Linked DNA regions of Caenorhabditis elegans. The protein of the gene in region 2 purifies or fractionates together with the protein of the main gene of each other region. This does not show direct contact. Each region holds a gene or a part of one and is shown on either strand. Other genes may lie near its edges. The genes, in order: wve-1 and toca-2.

Region 1 (10,597 bases), on a different chromosome or scaffold from region 2:
TGTTGGTTTTTCTGACTGAAAAATTAGTTTTTTGGTCATTTTTCGAGAAAAATTATCAGTTTTTCGTGGATTTTAAGAGAAAAATATGGATTTTCCAGTCATTTTTCGACATAAAATCTGTTTTTTGCTCTTTTTCCGAGGTTTTTGGGAGATTTCTTCTCAAAAATTCCAAAATTCCATCTCCGCACCTGTCCAATCAACGTCTTCTGTTTGGACTTGCGATAAGCCTCGCAAAGCCGATCAAGATTCACGTGTCCAGGCAATGCGAGACGTAGAATATCCTCAACAAAAGAATCCATAATAAAAGCATCATTGATCGCAGACATTCCAACACCTTCCCGTCGAAACCAGCATGGTTTACCACGTCGTGTCTCCGAATTATCCATTATATCGTCGGCGATCAGGTAGAAACTTTGAATCTGAACGAACGAAAAAATAGGCTCAGTTTTCGCGCGGGCTTTTAGGCTTAATTTCGGGCTTTTCTTTAAGAGGTTTCGGACAATTTTGAACGTGTAGACCAAAATTGGGCTTAAATAAACGAATTGGCGGTTCAAAACGCACAGATTTTAGCTAAAATCTCGAATTTTGCCCACTTTTCTGTGTGGCAGCGGTTTGAAGTTGATTTTTTTGAAATTATTATCCTTTATTGGCTCAACTGAACGAATTTCGTAATGACACTGCTCGAAAATCCAAATTTTTCACTAAAAATCCGAAAAAACCGATAATTTTTTGCAGTTCCTGAAATTAAAATAACCGAAAAACCGGAATTTTCTCATAAATTACCATAAAATGGCTTTTTTCCATAAATCCATAAAAGCATGTTAAAATCGGATTTTTCAATAAAATAACCAAAAAACCAAAAATTGAAGGTTTTTTCGCCAAATCACCCAAAAAGTCCAATTTTTTCACTAAAAATATATCATTTCGGTGATTTTTAGTGAAAAAAATTGGATTTTTTGATGATTTAGCGAGATTTTTAGGTTTTTGTACGGGAAAAAAACCTCCAATTTTTGGTTTTTTGGCTTTTTTTATTGAAAAATATGATTTTCACATGCTTTTTTTAATGGAAAAAGCCATTTTCTGGTAATTTATAAGAAAATTCCAATTTTTCGGTTATTCTAATTTTCAGGAACTGCAAAAAATTATTGATTTTTCGGATTTTTAGGAAAAAAAAGATTTTCTCGGTGATTTTTAATGAAAAATTGCATTTTCGAGCAGTTTCATTACGAAATTCGTTCATTTGAGCCCATTCTCCTTCAATTTAGTCGGGTTTTCTCTCAAAAAACGCCGATTTTCCATCTAAAAACTGACAATTTCAAGTGTTGCAGCAGCTTCACACACAGCTTGAAGCTCCTGAGTTTCATCTCTTAAATGAGGCTGTAAAGCCCGTATTGTGTCAACGCATAGGGATGCTCGTGAGTATTTTCCGCCGATTACAGTGTTGTCGAATAGCTGAAAATTTGGGAATTTTTGATGGAAAATACTGGATTTTTCGCCAAAAACTGACCAAAATCGTGAAAAATTGGCTTTTTTTTGGAAAATTTACTGCTTTTAGTGCAAAAAATACAGAATTTCTCTGGAAAACTGCTTTTTCCTCCGGTTTTCGGCGTATTTTTTGCTGATTTTAGTGAATTTTCAGCAGAAAATACGGAAAAATGTGCAGGAAATTCGGTATTTGGAGTCAAGTTTTGACTTTTTCTCCACTTTTTCTCCTTTTTTGGTTTTTTAGCAGAAAATTTTGAATTTTTTGATGGAAAAAACTGGATTTTTAGTTAGAAAATCAAACAAAAACTTTTTCTGCTGGTTTTAGTGCATTTTCTGCGGCGAAAAATATGAAATTTTCAACAGGAAATTCGAAATTTGGAGTGAATTTTTGACTTTTTCTCCACTTTTTTCTAGTTTTAGTGTGAAAAGTGCCATTTTTCCACGCATTTTAACCGAGAAAATCGTCTTTTCCGTACATTTCTACATCTATACTGAACCAAATCGTATTCCATTCCATCAGCAGGCAATTTTGCCGCCACAACCCGTACGAATTTCTTCTTAACTTCGCCCAACGCCGTTTCTACCAGCTTTCTACTGGCGAACATTGCTGCTGAAAATACGAGAAAATTAGAGGGAAAAATGGCAAAAAAAACTAGAGAAAATGAAAATTTAGAGCCGTTGCATCATTATTATGAAATTTCAAGCTGAAAAACCGGTTTTTGAGCAAATTTTCGCCCAATTTCGAATTTTTCAGCTGAAAACTGAGCTAAAATGAGCCAAAAAACACGATTTTCAATTGAAATTTCGAGAAAAAAAAAGCTAAAAATTGAATTTTCGAATAATTTGGGAATTTTGGAGCTCCGATGCGTAGAAAACAAATTTTTGCATGAAAAATTGCAATTTTCTGCGAAAAATCAAGAGTTTTCCAGGAAATATGTCCAAATTCCGCTGAAAATTTAAATATTTTCGTAAATTCGAGAGAAATGATGCAAATTTCATAAAAATGTGCTCCAAATTGGAAATTTCACGTTTTTTTTCCGGAAAAATCGATTTTTCACCAAAAATTGAAAATTTTAAGCGAAAATTGAAGTTTTCCTACATTTCAAAGGTTTAAATTGATTTAAATTGAAAAAAAATCGAATAAAAATTGGAAAAACTGATGAATCATAAAATTGCGAAATAATAATGAGGGGGCAGGCGACCACTTGGAAATTTAAATTTACAATTCTGGAGGGGCAAAAAATGAGAAAAATCAGTTCATTTGAAACAGGAAAGCGGAAAAAATTTTAAAAATTTTTGAATAAATAAATTAAAGCAAGGCAGTATTTACACAAGAAAATTCGAAAAAGTGTGCGTCGATTTACGCAGCTCGTGTAGTCCCCGAGGAGAAGATTTTACAGTTTTTTGGCTTAAAAATGCTTGATTTTCGCTATTTTTCTATCAAAATTAACATTTAAACCGGTTATTTATAGCGTTTTAAGTGAAATTTGAGCGATTTTAAAGTTTTCACCGACAAAAAAAAACCGTGAAAATAGCGAAAATGGCTCAAAATCAACCATTTTAGCAAAAAAAAGTACTTGATTTTGAGCCATTTTCGCAATGTTCACGGTTTTTTTTTTGGCAAAAATCAATGAATTATTTTTATTTTTAACTTTAAAAACACTCAGATTTCACTTAAAAGTGCATAAATAACCGCTTTGAATGTTAATTTTCAAGTAAAAATAGCGAAAATCAAGAATTTCAGCGAAAAATCGTTTTTTTTTTCACCGAAAAAATCAGTAAAAATGCAAAAATGGGTAATAATGCTTGATTTAGAGCTATTTTCACGGGTTTTTCGCTTAAAAATCACCGCTTTGAATGTTAATTTTCAAGGAAAAAATAGCGAAAATCAAGCATTTTTAGCCAAAATCTGTAGAATCTTCTCCTCGAGGAGTACACGAGATCTGCGTAAATCGACACAAAAGAGAGCAATTAATCATCCCATTCATCATCATCAGCTCCTTCTTCACTACTTGAATCATCATTTCCCATAACTTGATCCATTCGTCTCTTCAATATCGCCGCAACATTATTCGCCTCGAGAGCAGCATTCTCGGCGGCTTCTGCCTCGGCTCTTTGCACTTTTTTCAGCTTTATTCCAGATTGAATTTGAGCCAAAAGATCACTTCGAGCATCTGGTTGTTTTGGAGCAACTGGGGAATTTGTGCCAGCAGCTTCACCGTCCGCGGATGGCTGAAAATTTCAGTTTTAGTGGGAGAAAATCGATTTTTTGATGAAAATTCGGCTATTTCTCTTGAAATTTGTCCCTAAAAAAGCTTCAAAAAAGTCCAAAAAACACAGGAAAACTACACATTTTCAGCGGGTTAGACACACATAGAGCCCTGCTGTTCCAGCGCCTTTACCTTTGGAGCCGGAGCTGCAAATGACGCTGCAGCCGAGCTTATAACCATTGGAGGTGGTGGTGGAGGTGGTGGAGGGATCTGAAAGGGATCGAGAATTGAAGAAAGAAGCGGAAAGTGGACAACAATGAGGGAAACACAAAAATGGACAAAAATTGCAAATTTTTAACTGAAAAATTCGGGGTTTTAAGCTTGGAAATTGCAGAAATATAGCTTCAAATTAATTTTATGCACTACAAGAAATCTTGGAGCTTTTCACAAATTTCCAAGCTTTTCCAAGCTGTTTCAAGCTTTTTAAGCTCATCGAAGATATTTCAAGCTCAGTCAGGCTTTTTTAGCTTTTCCAGGCTTTCGCAAGCTTTTTCGAGCTCGTCTAAGCTTTTTGACGCCTTTTCCAAGCTCTTTCAGGCTTTACAAGCTGTTTCAAGCTCGCACGAGCATTTTGAAGTTTTTCCAGGCTTTTTTAAGCTCTGTAAGCTTTTCGAAGCCACTATCGTTCTCTTTCAAGCTGTTTCAAGCTGTTTAAGCTCATCGAAGCTATTTCAAGCTCAGTCAGGCTTTTTCAAGCTTTGTCAAGCTTGTTCAAGCTCCTCCAAGCTTTTTCAAGGCGTTTCCAAGCTTTTTCAGGCTTTTCCCAACTCTTTCAGGCTTGCTCAAGCTTGGTCAAGCTTGTTCAAGCTCCTCCAAGCTTTTCCAGGTTTTTCCAGGCTTTTTCAAACTATTATAAGCTCGTTAAGCTCATTCAAGCTATTTCAAGCTCTGTCAGGCTTTTCCAAGCCTTTTCAAGCTATTACAAGTTCGTTTAAGCTCTACAAGCTTTTCCAGGCTTTTTCTTGCTCTTTCAAGCTTTTCCAAGCTTGTTCAAGCTTTCTTAAGCGTTTTGGAATCTTTTCCTGTCTTTTGCAGGCCTTTTCAAGCCTTTTCCAGGGTTTTCCAAACGTTTTCAAGCCATTTCAAGGTTCTCCAAGCTTGTTCACTATTTTTTCAAGCTCTTTAAGCTTCTCCAAGCTAGTTCAAGCTCTGTCAGGCTTTCCAAACTTGTTCAAGCTTTATCGTTCTCTTTCAAGTTCTTCCAAGCTAGTTCAAGCTCTGTCAGGCTTTTCCAAGCTTTTCCAAACGGTTTCAAGCCGTTTCAAGCCTTTCTAATAGAGTTCAACCAATTTTTCGTGATTTCGTGGCCCAAATGAACAAATTAAAGCGAAAAAGCGAGATTTTGCCTGAAAAAGGCTTAAGGCTTCTAAACGCTCATAATAACTTAGAATAATAGAGACTTTTCACATTTTCTAGTTTTTTCAAGCTTTTCCAAGCTTTTTCGTCGTGAAAACGGACAATTTAAAGCAAAAACGCAAGCTTTTTTCCTCGCAAAAACCAAGATTTTACTCCAAAATCTCCAAATTCTCTCGAGCTCCAAAACGTACATTAGTCGGCGGAGCAGCACTCGGCTCGACAAACTGTATCGTCGACGGAGCTTCTGCTGGTAACTGATGTACAATTGATGTATTCATGAGAAGCGGTGGTGGTGGTGGTGGAAGATCATCATCATCATCATCAATCGATAAAATTGACATATCCGGTGGTGGGAGGTGATCCAGATTCACTGGCGGCGGAGCTTCAGTCGGACGTTTAACATTCGGAGATCCACGAGCTGCTGCTGGAGCACCACCTCGTTGTTGGCTCGGATGCACATTTTGTTGAGGATGATGGTGCATTGTCATTCCGATTGGGGCAACCATGTTGGAGGGGTGCTGAATTTATCAAAAATTGGGAGATTTTCAGTGGAAAAAATCGTTTTTTTCTTCAAAATTACTCCCAGAGAAGGATATTTGGGCTTAATTATCGATTTTTCAGAGTTTTTTTGTCATTTGGAGCATGAAATTTCTTAAAAATTCACTGAAAACTTCCAAAAAACTCGAGTTTTCAGCCTCAAAGACAAGCCAAAATCAATGAAAAACGTTTTTCAACAGAAATGTTTCACTTTTTCACTAAAAATATGCTGAAATTGATAAGTTTTTTTGGAAAAATCCCTAGAAACCGTACAAATTAATTATAAAAACCCTATAAAATCGAATTTTTCAACGAAATCCTCTAGAATCCATAACTTTTCAGCTTCAAAATTATTTGTTCCCATTGAAACTTTCGACTTTATAGGATTTTTATAGTTAATTTGTAGGGTTTCTAGCGATTTTTCCAAAAAAAAAATTATCAATTTTCGCATATTTTTAATGAAAAAGTGGCACTTTTCTGTTGAAAAATTATTTTTTCTAAGGAATTTCCCACTAATTTCATTGATTTTCGCTTGTTTTTCGGTGAAAACTCGGCTTTTTGGAAGTTTCTAGTGAATTTTTATGAAATTTCAAGCCCCAAATGGCTAAAAAACCCAAATATTGGCCCAAAATAGAGAATTTTTGCCTTCTCGGGGAGCACAAGAGCTGTGTAAGCGCTGAAATCTCGTTGAAAAGTTGATTTTCTTTTTAAACAATAGAAAATTCACTTTTTCAGCAAAAAACTCGATTTTTTTTCAAATTTTTGGGCTCAATTATCGATTTTTTCCGATTTTCAACGGTAAAAAATCATTTGAAGCGGAAAAGCTGGGACTTCGTTGAAAAATTCGATTTCATAGTTTTTTTGAAGTTAATTTGTAGGGTTTCTAGCGATTTTTCCAAAAACTTATCAATCTTCGCAGATTTTAATGAAAAAGTGACTTTTTCTCATTGATTTTGGCTTGTTTTTTGGCGAAAAAGTGCATTTTTAGGAAATTTCATGCTCCAAATTACTGGAAACCCATAATTTTGCCCCAAAATAGAACATTTTGGCCTGCTCGGGGAGCACAAGAGCTGTGTAAGCGCTGAAATCTCGTTGAAAAGTTGATTTTCTTTTTAAACAATAGAAAATTCACTTTTTCAGCAAAAAACTCGATTTTTTTCAAATTTTTGGGCTCAATTATCGATTTTTTCCGATTTTCAACGGTTTGGAGATTTTCTCTTCAAAAAATCGAAAAATCTCGCGAAAATCTACCTGATTTTTAAAGTTAAGCTGAAGCCCGAGAGCCTGCGGAGCCTGATATTCCTCCGGGAACGAGAAAACTTCATTCTGCTGATTAATCCGTGATCCACTAATCTGTCGATTCCTATGCTGCATATCATTATAGGCCGTCGTGCCGAGAGGGCCTTGTCCAGGCTGCTTCCGCCGCTTTTTCGGGCTTTTACTCCCGTCGTTCGGGCTTTTTACCCGTCTGGGCCGTTCGGCAACCTCTTTTAGTGTCTCCTTTTTCCATAAATCGAAGAAAAACGAGGGATTTGTGTAGAGAGAGAGCGCAGGGATTTCAGAGTCTCTATACGGATTTAGAGCATCAAGATCCGGCGGTGGATCACATTTTGCATATATTTCAGTCAATGCTGTAGGTAAAGTGCTTCTATCCAGAATATGTTGATCTACAAGCATTGAACTTTTGAATGCTTTTCGCATATTCGCTTCATTCAACGTTGCTTGATCGGAATTTGAATCCAAATCTTCAACTTTCTTGTGCAATCTATCAATTCTCTGTTGAAGAGTGTTCGATTTGTGATTTATTATCATTGCGTCGTGATAAATCTCTCCGAAGATGTTCTCAGCGTGCTTACTGCAAAAAAAAATCGATAAAATTCCAGTTTTCCGACCTAATTTCCCACCTCAACGAGCTCAATTGTCGTACTAAATTGGCGATTGTCCCATTAGCAGTACATTGAAGCTCATCACGATGGATTGTTGATGGAATTGTGCCTCTGCTGAGGTTTACCGGTGATACCGCCCGTTTTGTTAGAGGCATTGCTGAAAATGTGCAGAAATTGCGGGATTATGTGGGTGGAAATTGCGAGAAAGCGTTAGAATTCACAGAAGATGACTTGAAATCGAAAAAAAATCACTTTCTTCCCTGAATAATATGTAAAAATCCATGGATTTAATGGAAATTGGCACGAAAATCGTGAAAAAAATTAGTTAAACATAAAAATTCACTGGAAACTTCATAAAAGCGAGCAGCCAAAATCAATGAAATTAGTTGGAAAATTCCACGAAAAACTCTAATGTTAATGGTAAACACGAAAATGCACTGGAAAAATTATAAAATTGAGTTTTTTAAACAGAAAAGCCACTTTTTTAATAAAATTATGCTGAAATTGGTAACTTTACCGGGAAAAATCGCTAGAAAACATATAAAATTGCTTCATTTACATGCTAAACCCACAAATTCACTGAAAAACTTATAAAACCTAATTTTCCAACGAAATATCATAAAATACATAGTTTTTCAGCTTCAAAATTATTATTTCTGTCAGAAAATGTTTTTTTTCATCGGAAAAACTGCAAAAAACGAGGAAAAACCAATAAAATCTCATGTTTTTCAATTAAAATATCATTAATCCAGAAATGCGCCAAGGTGCACCCGGGATGCGTCAGCAAACACTCACGAGAAGTGCGCAAGCGAGCGTCTGCACTCTCTCGAATACATACAGTGTCTCGCTGTGATTCATCGGAAATATTTTCATTTCCGGAAATGTTTTATATTTATTTAAATATTAATTTTTTTCGGTCTAAAAAATGATATACAAAACAAAAAATCGATACAGGAAAATGCGAAAATAGAATGAGATTGAAATTTCAATATTTACTGTTCAAAATATTCAAAATATCGTGAAATGGCGAGGTTTCGGAGAGATGGTCCTTTTTATTTATCAATGAAATTGTTCTAATTCTGAGAAAAATAACAAAATATAGCTAAATTCTCAATTTTCGCCAACTTGGTTGTGTCACAGAAGCTAAAATTCATTTCGAATACCGAGCCCGTACAGTAGTCATTTAAAGAATTACTGTAGTTTTCGCTACGAGGTATATTTCGCGTCAAATTTGTTACGTAATAAGCATTTCACTTTCCCAACAATTGCCGATTTCTTCTCCAAAATATCCCTCCCGTAAACCTACACAAAATCGACCGTAGTGCGGCACGTTCGCTGCGAGACCCGCCGCGCGTTTGGCCTCAATCTTTTTAGGACTGCCAAATTCGATCGAACATTTTTAGTCTGTCTTCCACGCGGAAACACACTCGTTTTTCTTCAAAAAAAAATCTATCATGGCTTCCCAAGGATTCTCCGTCTACGGTAAGTATAGTAATAAATCGGTGGTGAAAATTAAATTTAAATTTGTACAAATTTTGAATATGATACAAAATTCTCAAAACTTCTGAAACTTTCTCACACTTTTCTTCGATGAACTTTTCTTCGACTTGCAGAAAGTATCGATTTCTGATAATTGTTAGCGTTTTCCGATCGGCCTTCGTTCTCTATGGTTCATTCGTGTTCCTTGACAACAAATCCCGATATTTCAGGTAGTCCCCTTCCACGTGTATAAGTATAACTGAGTCTACTAACTGAGTACCCGGGACCCCACACGGATCGCCACACAATTCTGGAAATGGAGACGCCGTTCGACCACAAAAAGTATGGGTGAAGAGACTTTTCGCACTGTCATGGTCTCCGTAGTCTAGGACTAGGATAGGGTGCATTTGCTCTGTAACAGTGCATTGTGAGAGTTTGTAACTTTCTATATATAGGCCAAAACCTACTATTACCCCCGTTTTGCTAATCGATTTTTTTCTAGTTGGAAACGTTCCATACCAAGGAACTGAGGAGGAGATCGGAAACTACTTCGCCGCCGTCGGACATGTTAACAACGTCAGGTAAGAGAACTCAGAAACTCAGAAACTCGGAAACTTTCGATTAAAACCTTGTCAAAACTAATCAATGTCTTCCAGAATCGTGTACGATCGTGAAACCGGACGCCCACGCGGTTTCGCATTCGTCGAGTTCTCCGAGGAAGCCGGAGCTCAAAGAGCCGTCGAACAACTTAACGGAGTTGCCTTCAATGGACGCAACCTTCGTGTCAACTACGCCAACAAGTAAACTGACAACGCCGCCGAGTGACTCAAAGAGATTGCACTTGTGATATACATTCCACCAAAAATTCTATCTTCGTGCATGTTTTTCACCATCTACACTTAAATAATAAATCTTTTTGAAAACTGAAAACTTCGAGCATTTTTTCACAGAGTGCAGGTTTACGGCTCAGTCTTAGGCTTAGGCTTAGGCTTAAGCATAGGCTGGGGCTCAGGCTTCGGCTTTTAGACCTAAAAAAAGATCGTTGCACCATGAGCAAAGTATTATAAAGAAAATTGACTTCAAAGAAACTGACACGTGGTGTCAAAGTGTCCCATTTTGGTTTGATCTTCGAAAAATGAGGGAAAAGAGACGCAGACTTTTCAACTGACGTCACACTTTCCTGGGGAGAAAATTCCCGCATTTTTTGTAGATCAAACCGCAATGAGACAGCCTGACTCCACAGATCCCATCTGAAAACTCATGAATTTAAATAATGATGCATACTTTTACTCTGTTCTGGCTTTGCATCACTTTGAGAGCCTTTTCAAGCTTTTCAGATAAATATTTCCTTGATTGTGCTTGCCTACGAGCCTACGTGCATACACAGAGATTTCGTTCGTACTTTTCTGATTACATCTCGGGATCCGCGGGAGTACTCCACTACTTTACGAGAGAGACCATAGGCTTATCCGTGCTCTGACTTGAGGTGTTTGTCGACACTTGCGGCAGACTCCGAGAAGGATTTAGACTAGAAATACGATAGGTATTATAGTTTTCCAGTCTGGAAATTTGCATTTTTCTGGT
Region 2 (8,985 bases):
ACTTTCACGACACCCTTGGCGATGGAAAAATTGATTCCAAGCAGGTGAGACTTTTAAAACAGAAAAATAGAACTGCTAAGATATTACGGGAACATAAAATTCTGAGAATGCGTATTGCACAACATATTTGACGCCCAAAATATTTCGAAGAGAAAACAACAGTAACTCTTTAAAGGACTACTGTAGAATTTGTGTCGATTTACCGGCTTGATTTTTGAAATCAATTTCTTTAAACTTTCATTCGTTTTTTCGAATAATTTTCTCATGTTTTACTAAATTTTAATATTCAATCATTTACTATATATAAAGCGCGTGTCCTTCCGTCCGTTTGTAGTTTGTAGTTTGATCTTTGATCTTTGGTCTTTGAACTCTGTAGTTTGTAGTCTCAATCACCTAAGAGGGGTCCTATAGGCCCCGCCCCTTTTGTGACGTCATCACAAATTGGCGGGAAATTCAAATTTTCTGAGAAATCATTTTGGCGGGAATTCAAATTTTAATTTTTTTAAAATATTTTGGCGGGAATTTAAAATTTTAATTTTTTGAAAATATTTTGGCGGGAATTCAAATTTTAATTTTTTAAAAATATTTTGGCGGGAATTTAAAATTTTAATTTTTTGAAAATATTTTGGCGGGAATTTAAAATTTTAATTTTCTGAAAATATTTTGGCGGGAATTCAAATTTTAATTTTTTGAAAATATTTTGGCGGGAATTTAAAATTTTAATTTTTTGAAAATATTTTGCCGGGAATTCAAATTTTAATTTTTTGAAAATATTTTGGCGGGAATTTAAAATTTTAATTTTTTGAAAATATTTTGGCGGGAATTCAAATTTTAATTTTTTGAAAATATTTTAACGGGAATTTAAAATTTTAATTTTTTGAAAATATTTTGGCGGGAATTCAAATTTTAATTTTTTGAAAATATTTTGGCGGGAATTCAAATTTTAATTTTTTGAAAATATTTTGGCGGGAATTCAAATTTTAATTTTTTGAAAATATTTTGGCGGGGAATTCAAATTTTAATTTTTTGAAAATATTTTGGCGGGAATTTAAAATTTTAATTTTTTGAAAATATTTTGGTGGGAATTTAAAATTTTAATTTTTTGAAAATATTTTGGCGGGAATTCAAATTTTAATTTTTTGAAAATATTTTGGCTGGAATTTAAAATTTCTGAGAAAAAGAACCTTCGTGTCGAGACCCATCGTGGTGAGACCCTTCGTGGTGAGACCCATCGTGGTGAGACCCATCGTGGTGAGACCCTTCGTGGTGAGACCCATCGTGGTGAGACCCATCGTGGTGAGACTCATCGTGGTGAGACCCTTCGTGGTGAGACCTTTCGTGGTGAGACCCATCGTGGTGAGACCTTTCGTGGTGAGACCCATCGTGGTGAGACCTTTCGTGGTGAGACCCATCGTGGTGAGACCTTTCGTGGTGAGAACTTTCGTGGTGAGACCCATCGTGGTGAGACCTTTCGTGGTGAGACCCATCGTGGTGAGACCTTTCGTGGTGAGACCTTTCGTGGTGAGACCTTTCGTGGTGAGACCCATCGTGGTGAGACCCTTCGTGGTGAGACCCATCGTGGTGAGACCCATCGTGGTGAGACTCATCGTGGTGAGACCCTTCGTGGTGAGACCCATCGTGGTGAGACCTTTCGTGGTGAGACCCATCGTGGTGAGACCTTTCGTGGTGAGACCCATCGTGGTGAGACCTTTCGTGGTGAGACCCATCGTGGTGAGACCTTTCGTGGTGAGACCTTTCGTGGTGAGACCTTTCGTGGTGAGACCCATCGTGGTGAGACCCTTCGTGGTGAGACCCATCGTGGTGAGACCCTTCGTGGTGAGACCCATCGTGGTGAGACCCATCGTGGTGAGACTCATCGTGGTGAGACCCTTCGTGGTTAGACCCATCGTGGTTAGACCCATCGTGGTGAGATCTTTCGTGGTGAGACCCATCGTGGTGAGACCCATCGTGGTTAGACCCATCGTGGTGAGATCTTTCGTGGTGAGCCCCATCGTGGTGAGACCCATCGTGGTGAGACTTTTCGTGGTGAGACCCATCGTGGTGAGACTTTTCGTGGTGAGACCCATCGTGGTGAGACCTTTCGTGGTGAGACCCTTCGTGGAGAGACTCTTCGTGTTTGATATTATATTGGCGGGAGCTAAGGAGTTGGTGTGGGATAATGTCAAGGTACTCTAGGGGTATTGTGGATTTGCTGTAGGGTTACTGTAGTTCAGAAAAAATTGACTTTGTGCTTTTGAAGAGGTATTGGCTCGAGAGTTAGAGAGGCGGAAGCTTCTGTGATATTTTTTACATTCCAGAATGTTTGAAAAAGTAAAAGTTTCCACCTGTTTTCATGTGACATTGTTAAAAGATTATATAGTGTTTTATGTGTCGAACAATTTAAATTTCGCCAGTCGTTGGCCGCGCCGTAGGCGCGGTCAGCGGCTGGTAGATAAATAAATGATTTTAATTCATTTCGAAAGTCGAGTGCGTAAATCGACACACACAAGAGCTACAGTAGTCATTTAAAGGATTACTGTAGATATCGCTACGAGATATTTTACGCGTCAAATATGTTGCGCAAAACGCGTTCCTAGAATTTTATGTTTCCGTAATGAACTCTTTTACAACGTGCAGTATTTTAACTATGTCTACTAGATTGTCGACCGCGGTTGCATCGAGGTCCACCACTAATTTCATAGCATCGAAATTGACCTAGAAACTTTAAACCAAATTTTTAAAATTCAGCTTCCCACAGCTCTCCGTGCCATGATGCTCAACCCTACCGAGGCTCTTCTAGCCGAAGTGAGCAAGGCAAGAACTTCCGGAGCACGCATCACAGTTGAAGAGTTTATTCCTATCTACAAAAAGGTTGAAGCTGCCTGCGGGCGAAGCACTACACTCAAGGAGTTTCAGGTTCGATTTCTTGAAGGTTTTTTAGACAACATTTCCGAATTTTCAGACGCTTCTATCGCACTTCGACCGCGAGGGAAACGGACAAATAATGCTCATGGAGCTTAAGAGCATGCTCCAAAACGGCGGGGAGAAGATGACGAATCAGGAGGTGGACAATTTGCTGTTCGGCGTGGAAGTCGTCGACGGACGAATCAATATCAACAACTTCCTCAACAGGCATCTTCAGATGGGGCTTGAGGAGTCTGAGAAATGATTTTTTGCTGATGATGTGATGTAATGCGGCCTTTCCAAAATTATCGTGCTAAAACTATAATATTGCCTGTCCTTGTGAATAGTAAAACACAATCTGAAATGTGATTTGAATAAAAAGTTAAACTACTGTGTTTTTCAAGGCGCGCGCATTGAAACCTGCGACAGGTCTCGACACGATCTACAGAAATTTGAATTTCAATCACAAATTTACACTCGATCACTCCGCAATTGGTTTTCTGCGAACAAATCAATTTTTCGATGTTCAAATGATTCCCGTTTCTAGATTTTTCACGGTTCAGGTAAAATTCCTATTGATTTCCACTCTAAAACCAAAATTTAAGGACCCATCAAACGCGCTCCTCTCGTACACACAAAAGGGAATAGATTTTTTCGAAAAATTAGGTCAATTCTCGAAGGAAAAAGCTGCGATTGAGGAGGAATATTCTACGAAATTGAGGTTTCAGTTTAAACAAACGGAATTTGAAGTTTTTCATAACTTTCTGTAGGAGTCTCGCAAAGAAATATGCGAAAAAATCGGAAGAAGATGATGAAATTCTAAAAAGTGTAAGCTACACCAGCTCATTCAACTCATTTCTTCAACAACTTGATCAGATTGCCACTCGACATCAAGTATAAGAATTCTGTCAGATTTTAGTTGAAAAAAACATCGAATTTCAGACGTCGGCGGAGCACATCCGGGGAGGTGTGGTTTCCTACGTGGCTTCGAAGACGTGTCAGATGAGAAGTTCCCGGAAAAATGCGATTAATGACTTGAAAACTATCAATGACAAGCTGGAAGATCAGATCAACGAGATGTGCAAGTCTGGGAAGTGTTACCTGTAGGAAAAAATCTGAAAAAAGTCGATTTGAATCGTTAATATTGCAGAAAATCGTTCAAAGACGCGGAAAACTCGTATCAAAAGTTTTACAAAGCTGATAAAAATCTGGAAATTTCGCGGCTTGAGTTAGAAAAAGCCAGGGCTCTTGCGAATGTAATAGGCTCAAAAAATCGCAAAACGCTTTTATTTATTTATTTCAGGCTCGAAATGAAGCATGTGAACTTGCTAAACAGGACTACTCAGCGCTGGTTCGCAAAACCAACGCCGAGCAAAAAAGATACCACGTGGAACTGCTCCCAGTGATTTTCGCGCGGCTCAAGGCGGTCGACAAGGAGTGTATCGCCGATATGCGACAAGTTTTGCAGAAAATTGTCTCCTTCGATGACTCGCTAGCTGATTCAACCGGTTATTATCGCGTTTAGAAGAAAAAATCGACGATGTTTTTTGCAGAAGAATGCCGAAAAATCATGCAAAGGGAAGTTGGGAAAATCGACGCGGAAGGTGATGCTCAGCTGGTTTTGAAATCCGTTGAGTCAGTATTTTTCGACTGAAAATCCGTAAAAATAGATAATTTCCAGAGCAACCATCGAGCAGCCGGCTCCGTTTGAAATCGAGGATCTGGGGGATCCCAAAAATTGTGACAGCCGGACAAATGGTGAATAGAAATCTGTAAAAGTCGGAACTTTGCAGTTTTTGACTCGAAATTTCCTTTTTCTAGAATTTATCTTCTGAATTTATTTAATTTTAAAATACTAAATACATATTTTCAAACCTTTTCCAAATAAAAATACACATTTCCAGATTCTGCCGACGGAAGTGGAGGAAAATTGCTGAAAAGCAGCCCTAGCAAGAATCGAATAATTCGCAATTTTCTGGGCATTCTCAAGGAAAAGGAGGCGGATGAGAAGCCCGAGGCTTCCAACAACGATCAATTGATGTATACCGACAAGAGCAAGCCTGCGCACGTGCGGCTTTCGTGTCTTCGCTCCAAAATTCGAGATATGGAAAAACAGTTGGAACAAGCGATTCAGGGACGAGAAGGCATCACTAGGTACGAGTAGATGCACCGAGAGCACTGAAACTTTGAGAAAATTTCAACAAAAAAAAGACAAACAAATTCTAGTCCAATGAAAGTTTAAATTTACAGTAATCTTTAAGGGTACATACCGGTTTGTATTCAACACAAATTTGTCGTCTCGAAACTGATTACTGTATTTTTGGCACTTAATTTCGCATCTAAGTAATGGAAAAATGATTTTCTCTGAAGTTCTGCCAAAAGTGTAGAAAAGAAAAATAATATCTCTAAAATAGGCGGGCCCAAAACTTTACGTTTGCTGTAATTTCAGACTGCAACAAGCCTACTACACAAATCCGCAGCACGGGAATCCGTCGGCGTGCACGGAACCACTTATATCGTACGCTAAAAAGATAGAGAAGCTCAAAATGGATATACATAACCTCAAGGAGTTCTACGCGATGCTTGAAATGAGTGTGGAAGGTGCTGAAAATACAAAGAATGGATGAAAATGAAACGTTTTTCGTCAAATTTTCGAAAATTCTAGTTAAAATACCTCTTTTCAAAAAATGAATGTCTTCTTTTAAAAATAATCCCTTTAAACACAAATTTTCCAGAAGGCCAGGAGCGCTCTTTTGGCGGCCGTGATACCCCTGACACAACGAGAAGCATGTCAGGCAGTTCGACAAATCAATCATCATCCAAAACTATCGAAGACGTGCTGGTATCACTAAACTGTTCGGTTTTTCCTGAAAATTATCGTATTTTGCAGTCTGGCGAAGCGGGAAATTCTTCATCAGCAGATGACTCGTCGAAGAATATCGTAAGCAGCCAAAAGTTGTTTTTCAGGAAAAAAAACAAATTACTGAAGTCTTACTCAATTTTAAAACTTCCTTATACTTAAAAATATAAGAATTACCGTTAAAGCAAACTTCTAACATGTTGTTGCAACACCGCTATGTGTCGATTTACGCATCTCGTGTACTCTCCGAGAAGAACGGTGCATTTATTTTTCCCAATTTATTTTTTGGTTTTTTGTCTGAAACACTTTAAATTAAAAAATAATTTGGCTATTTCAGCGTTGAATACCAAAAAAAATTAGAGGACATAGTCAAAAACCGATAATACGAGAATTTGAAATTACAGTATTCTTCAATACGTACACCTTTTCGCGTTTAGTACAAATTTGTCGTGTCGAAATACCGTACTTTTGGCGCAATAAAAAATAATTGATTGTTCGTTTAGAGACCCACTGTGCGTTTTTCAGCTCCGCCAACTGTTTACAACTCCGAAACGGCTTATCTCCTCGCCAAAAACCTCGAAGTCTTCAACTCCGACGCCACTACGACGAAGAGCCGAAATCTCATCACCAAAGATTCTCAGATCCTCATTTTCAGGTTAAATTAAAAATCCATTTTTTTCCTTTTAAAAGCTTTTATAAAAGAAAAAATAGTTAAATATAAGTATAAATTTTTTGCAGGTGCCATTCGCAAATCTTTATCGACTCCCGATTCAGTTAAAGTCGAGACAGCGGTTACGGTAACCGCACTGTTCGAATTTGCCAAATCCTCCGCGGAGACCATGTCCATCGAGCAGGGCGAAATTCTTCTCGTACTCGAACACGATCACGGAGATGGATGGACTCGAACCAAAAAGTAATACAAGTAACAAAGAATTACCAAGTAAATAAAATGAAAGTTGCAGGAAACACAACGAAGAGTCAGGATTCGTGCCAACTTCGTATTTGCAATTCCCCCAGTGATTTCATAAATTAAATAGCATTATCATCATCAATATTGTACTCGAGACTGCGCTTATTATCGTCCTGTGAATGAAATAATTGATTATAAAAACAGATTCTTCGATTTTCGATTCATATTGCCATTTACGGAGAAAATGCACATAAAAAGTAATGGTATAATAAATTACAGGAAGTGGGAGAATGGGAGGCACCGCGGATTGTTGAGTTTAAAATGGGAAAAAAACATTGCACAATAAATTAGTAAAAAAGAACGGTTAGGCTATCTAGACAAATTAAATCAGCTTCACATAATTAGCGGGAAAAAGGCCTACGCGGCCGCTGGGCGCACGTCCTTTCCACCATCCGCTATCGACTTGATCGATATCTGTGATAATGTCATCAGGATCAAATGAGATCTCCGTGTCATCTGCAGCCTGGTAGTCCCAGAGAGCCATCGCGTTCTGCTCGGCGACCGCCGGCGGGAAATCGTACTGATCAATTGGTGGAGCAGCGACTTTTATTGGCGAGGATTTCGGTGCAAACACGGGCTCCTCTGGCATCACTGGAGGCATGTCATACTGTGAGGCGATGTGAGCTGGCAGTTGAGAGCTCGATGAGTGAGAGTCGATCGGCTCCGGCGGAGCATCATACTGAGACGCATAGTGGGAAGGAGCTGAAACTGGAGGTACAGCTGGTTCGAAAGACTCGTGAACCGGTGGAGCATCGTACTGGGAGGCGTAATGCGATGGAGCTGGAGTTGGCTCAGGTGGAGGTGGAGCAATGACCGGGGTTGGAGCAAGGAATGTAGGTGGAGCTGGCTCTGCTGGTGGCTCTTCGTATGCATCGTAAGAGACGGCAGGTTCTGAAAATATTCAAATTAGGACTAATAAACTTTATACGAAAACTGACTCATAGCCTCGGGCTTGTAAACCATTGGCTCTGGCTCATAAGCTATTGGCTTTGGCGTATACGTCGAAGGCTCATCTGGCTCAGTGAGTCGGTTAACGGGTTCACGGGGCGGAGAGGTCGTGCCAACTGGCGGCCACTTCTTAGGCGATCCATTCACTTGAGGCTTCGGAAGCACTGGACCGGAAGGTTTTGAGCTGAATAATTCTTTTCTGCTTCCAACGAGACCTGCGCTCGGAGTGGGGGCGGGAGCTGGAGCTGGATTCACCGAAGATGGCACGGGCTTATCACTAATTTGAGCCTTCCCGTGAAGATCATCCGCAATCCGTTTTCGATCCGTCTCGAATTCCTTCTGCTTCTGGGCCTGTGCCTCTTTTTCCTCCGCTTGCCGCCGCTGCTCCTCCTCGTTCATCTTGCTCCAGAACTCTTCGCGAGCTGATGAACTGATCTCCACGTGCGGTTTTGTTGGCTTGTACACCGATGTGACCTTATCCGGTTGATAGTTTTCTGTTTTGGAGTGAATTTCCGAGGCCATTCGCTGTCGATCCGCTTCGAACTGCTTGTGTGCTTGTTCACGAGCGGTTTTTTCTTCTTCTTGACGCCTAAAATTGCGAATTCTATTTCAATAAATTACTCAAAACACCCACAGCTTCTCCTCCTCGTTCATCTTGCTCCAAAACTCCTCCCGTTTGACCGTCTTCAGCTCAACGTGGGGCTTCGTCGGCTTGTACACCGAGTTAACCTTCTCCGGCTGGAAATCTTCGGCTTTTGTGTGAATTGCCGCGGCCGTGCGATCACGGTCAGCTTCATACTGCTTTTGCTGTTTCGCATGAGCCACTTTCTCGTCGGCTTGTCGTCTGAAACTTCTTAGAGGTGATTACTTGATTTTCAGGACACGATTTCATGTAGACAGTACCTCTTCTCCTCTTGATTTGTTGTGCTCCAGAAGTTCTCGCGAGCCTCCGAGCTGAGCTCCGAGTGTGCATTCGTCGGCTGGTACACCGAATTCACCTTCTCCGGCATGCTGTACGTGGATTCGACGATGGCGTTGGCGTTCGCCGCCGGGAGCTTTCGCACCTCTTTTCGAATCGCGTCCGGCTCGATGTCGATTTCCGATCTGGCATGGAGCACAATGTGAACTGTTTTCAAGAATCTACGGAACTCTTCAGCGTGCGGTGTCGTTGAGGCCAAACGCAGTGTGGGGACTCCTTCGCCTTGCTGCAATATTCAAACATTAAAATGGTTTTTTTCCTGGAACTTCGTGTTTAAAAGTATACAAATCTCGATACATCTCTAAAAATATTTGAAACCATAAC

Evidence for each region.
Region 1: the proteins of toca-2 (region 2) and wve-1 purify together in Caenorhabditis elegans (affinity purification with western blotting, with the first as the bait; one study listed by BioGRID). This does not show direct contact.

The regions. Positions count from the first base shown.
Region 1 is NC_003279.8:11,921,819-11,932,415, forward strand, and holds wve-1 (Wiskott-Aldrich syndrome protein family member), read right to left. Parts: upstream 7,699-10,597; 5' UTR 7,690-7,698; coding exon 7,553-7,689; intron 7,504-7,552; coding exon 6,900-7,503; intron 5,630-6,899; coding exon 5,303-5,629; intron 3,966-5,302; coding exon 3,888-3,965; intron 3,718-3,887; coding exon 3,457-3,717; 3' UTR 2,723-3,456; downstream 1-2,722. Other genes in the region: fdps-1 (Farnesyl pyrophosphate synthase), read right to left, coding at 189-419, 1,312-1,452, 1,962-2,090; R06C1.4 (RRM domain-containing protein), read left to right, coding at 8,989-9,016, 9,516-9,594, 9,670-9,817.
Region 2 is NC_003281.10:13,752,565-13,761,549, forward strand, and holds toca-2 (Transducer of Cdc42-dependent actin assembly protein 2 homolog), read left to right. Parts: upstream 1-3,379; 5' UTR 3,380-3,434; coding exon 3,435-3,467; intron 3,468-3,509; coding exon 3,510-3,625; intron 3,626-3,674; coding exon 3,675-3,798; intron 3,799-3,846; coding exon 3,847-4,007; intron 4,008-4,054; coding exon 4,055-4,160; intron 4,161-4,207; coding exon 4,208-4,412; intron 4,413-4,457; coding exon 4,458-4,539; intron 4,540-4,585; coding exon 4,586-4,662; intron 4,663-4,808; coding exon 4,809-5,058; intron 5,059-5,353; coding exon 5,354-5,505; intron 5,506-5,639; coding exon 5,640-5,746; intron 5,747-5,794; coding exon 5,795-5,845; intron 5,846-6,289; coding exon 6,290-6,419; intron 6,420-6,502; coding exon 6,503-6,677; intron 6,678-6,720; coding exon 6,721-6,784; 3' UTR 6,785-6,875; downstream 6,876-8,985. Other genes in the region: mlc-7 (EF-hand domain-containing protein), read left to right, coding at 1-44, 2,749-2,916, 2,963-3,169; dbn-1 (DreBriN 1/DreBriN-like (where Drebrin is from Developmentally REgulated BRaIN protein) family homolog), read right to left, coding at 7,057-7,625, 7,673-8,271, 8,317-8,526, 8,586-8,887. UniProt on the Caenorhabditis elegans protein: Plays a role in protein trafficking, actin organization and embryonic morphogenesis. Potentially acts as a cdc-42 effector. May play a role in egg laying.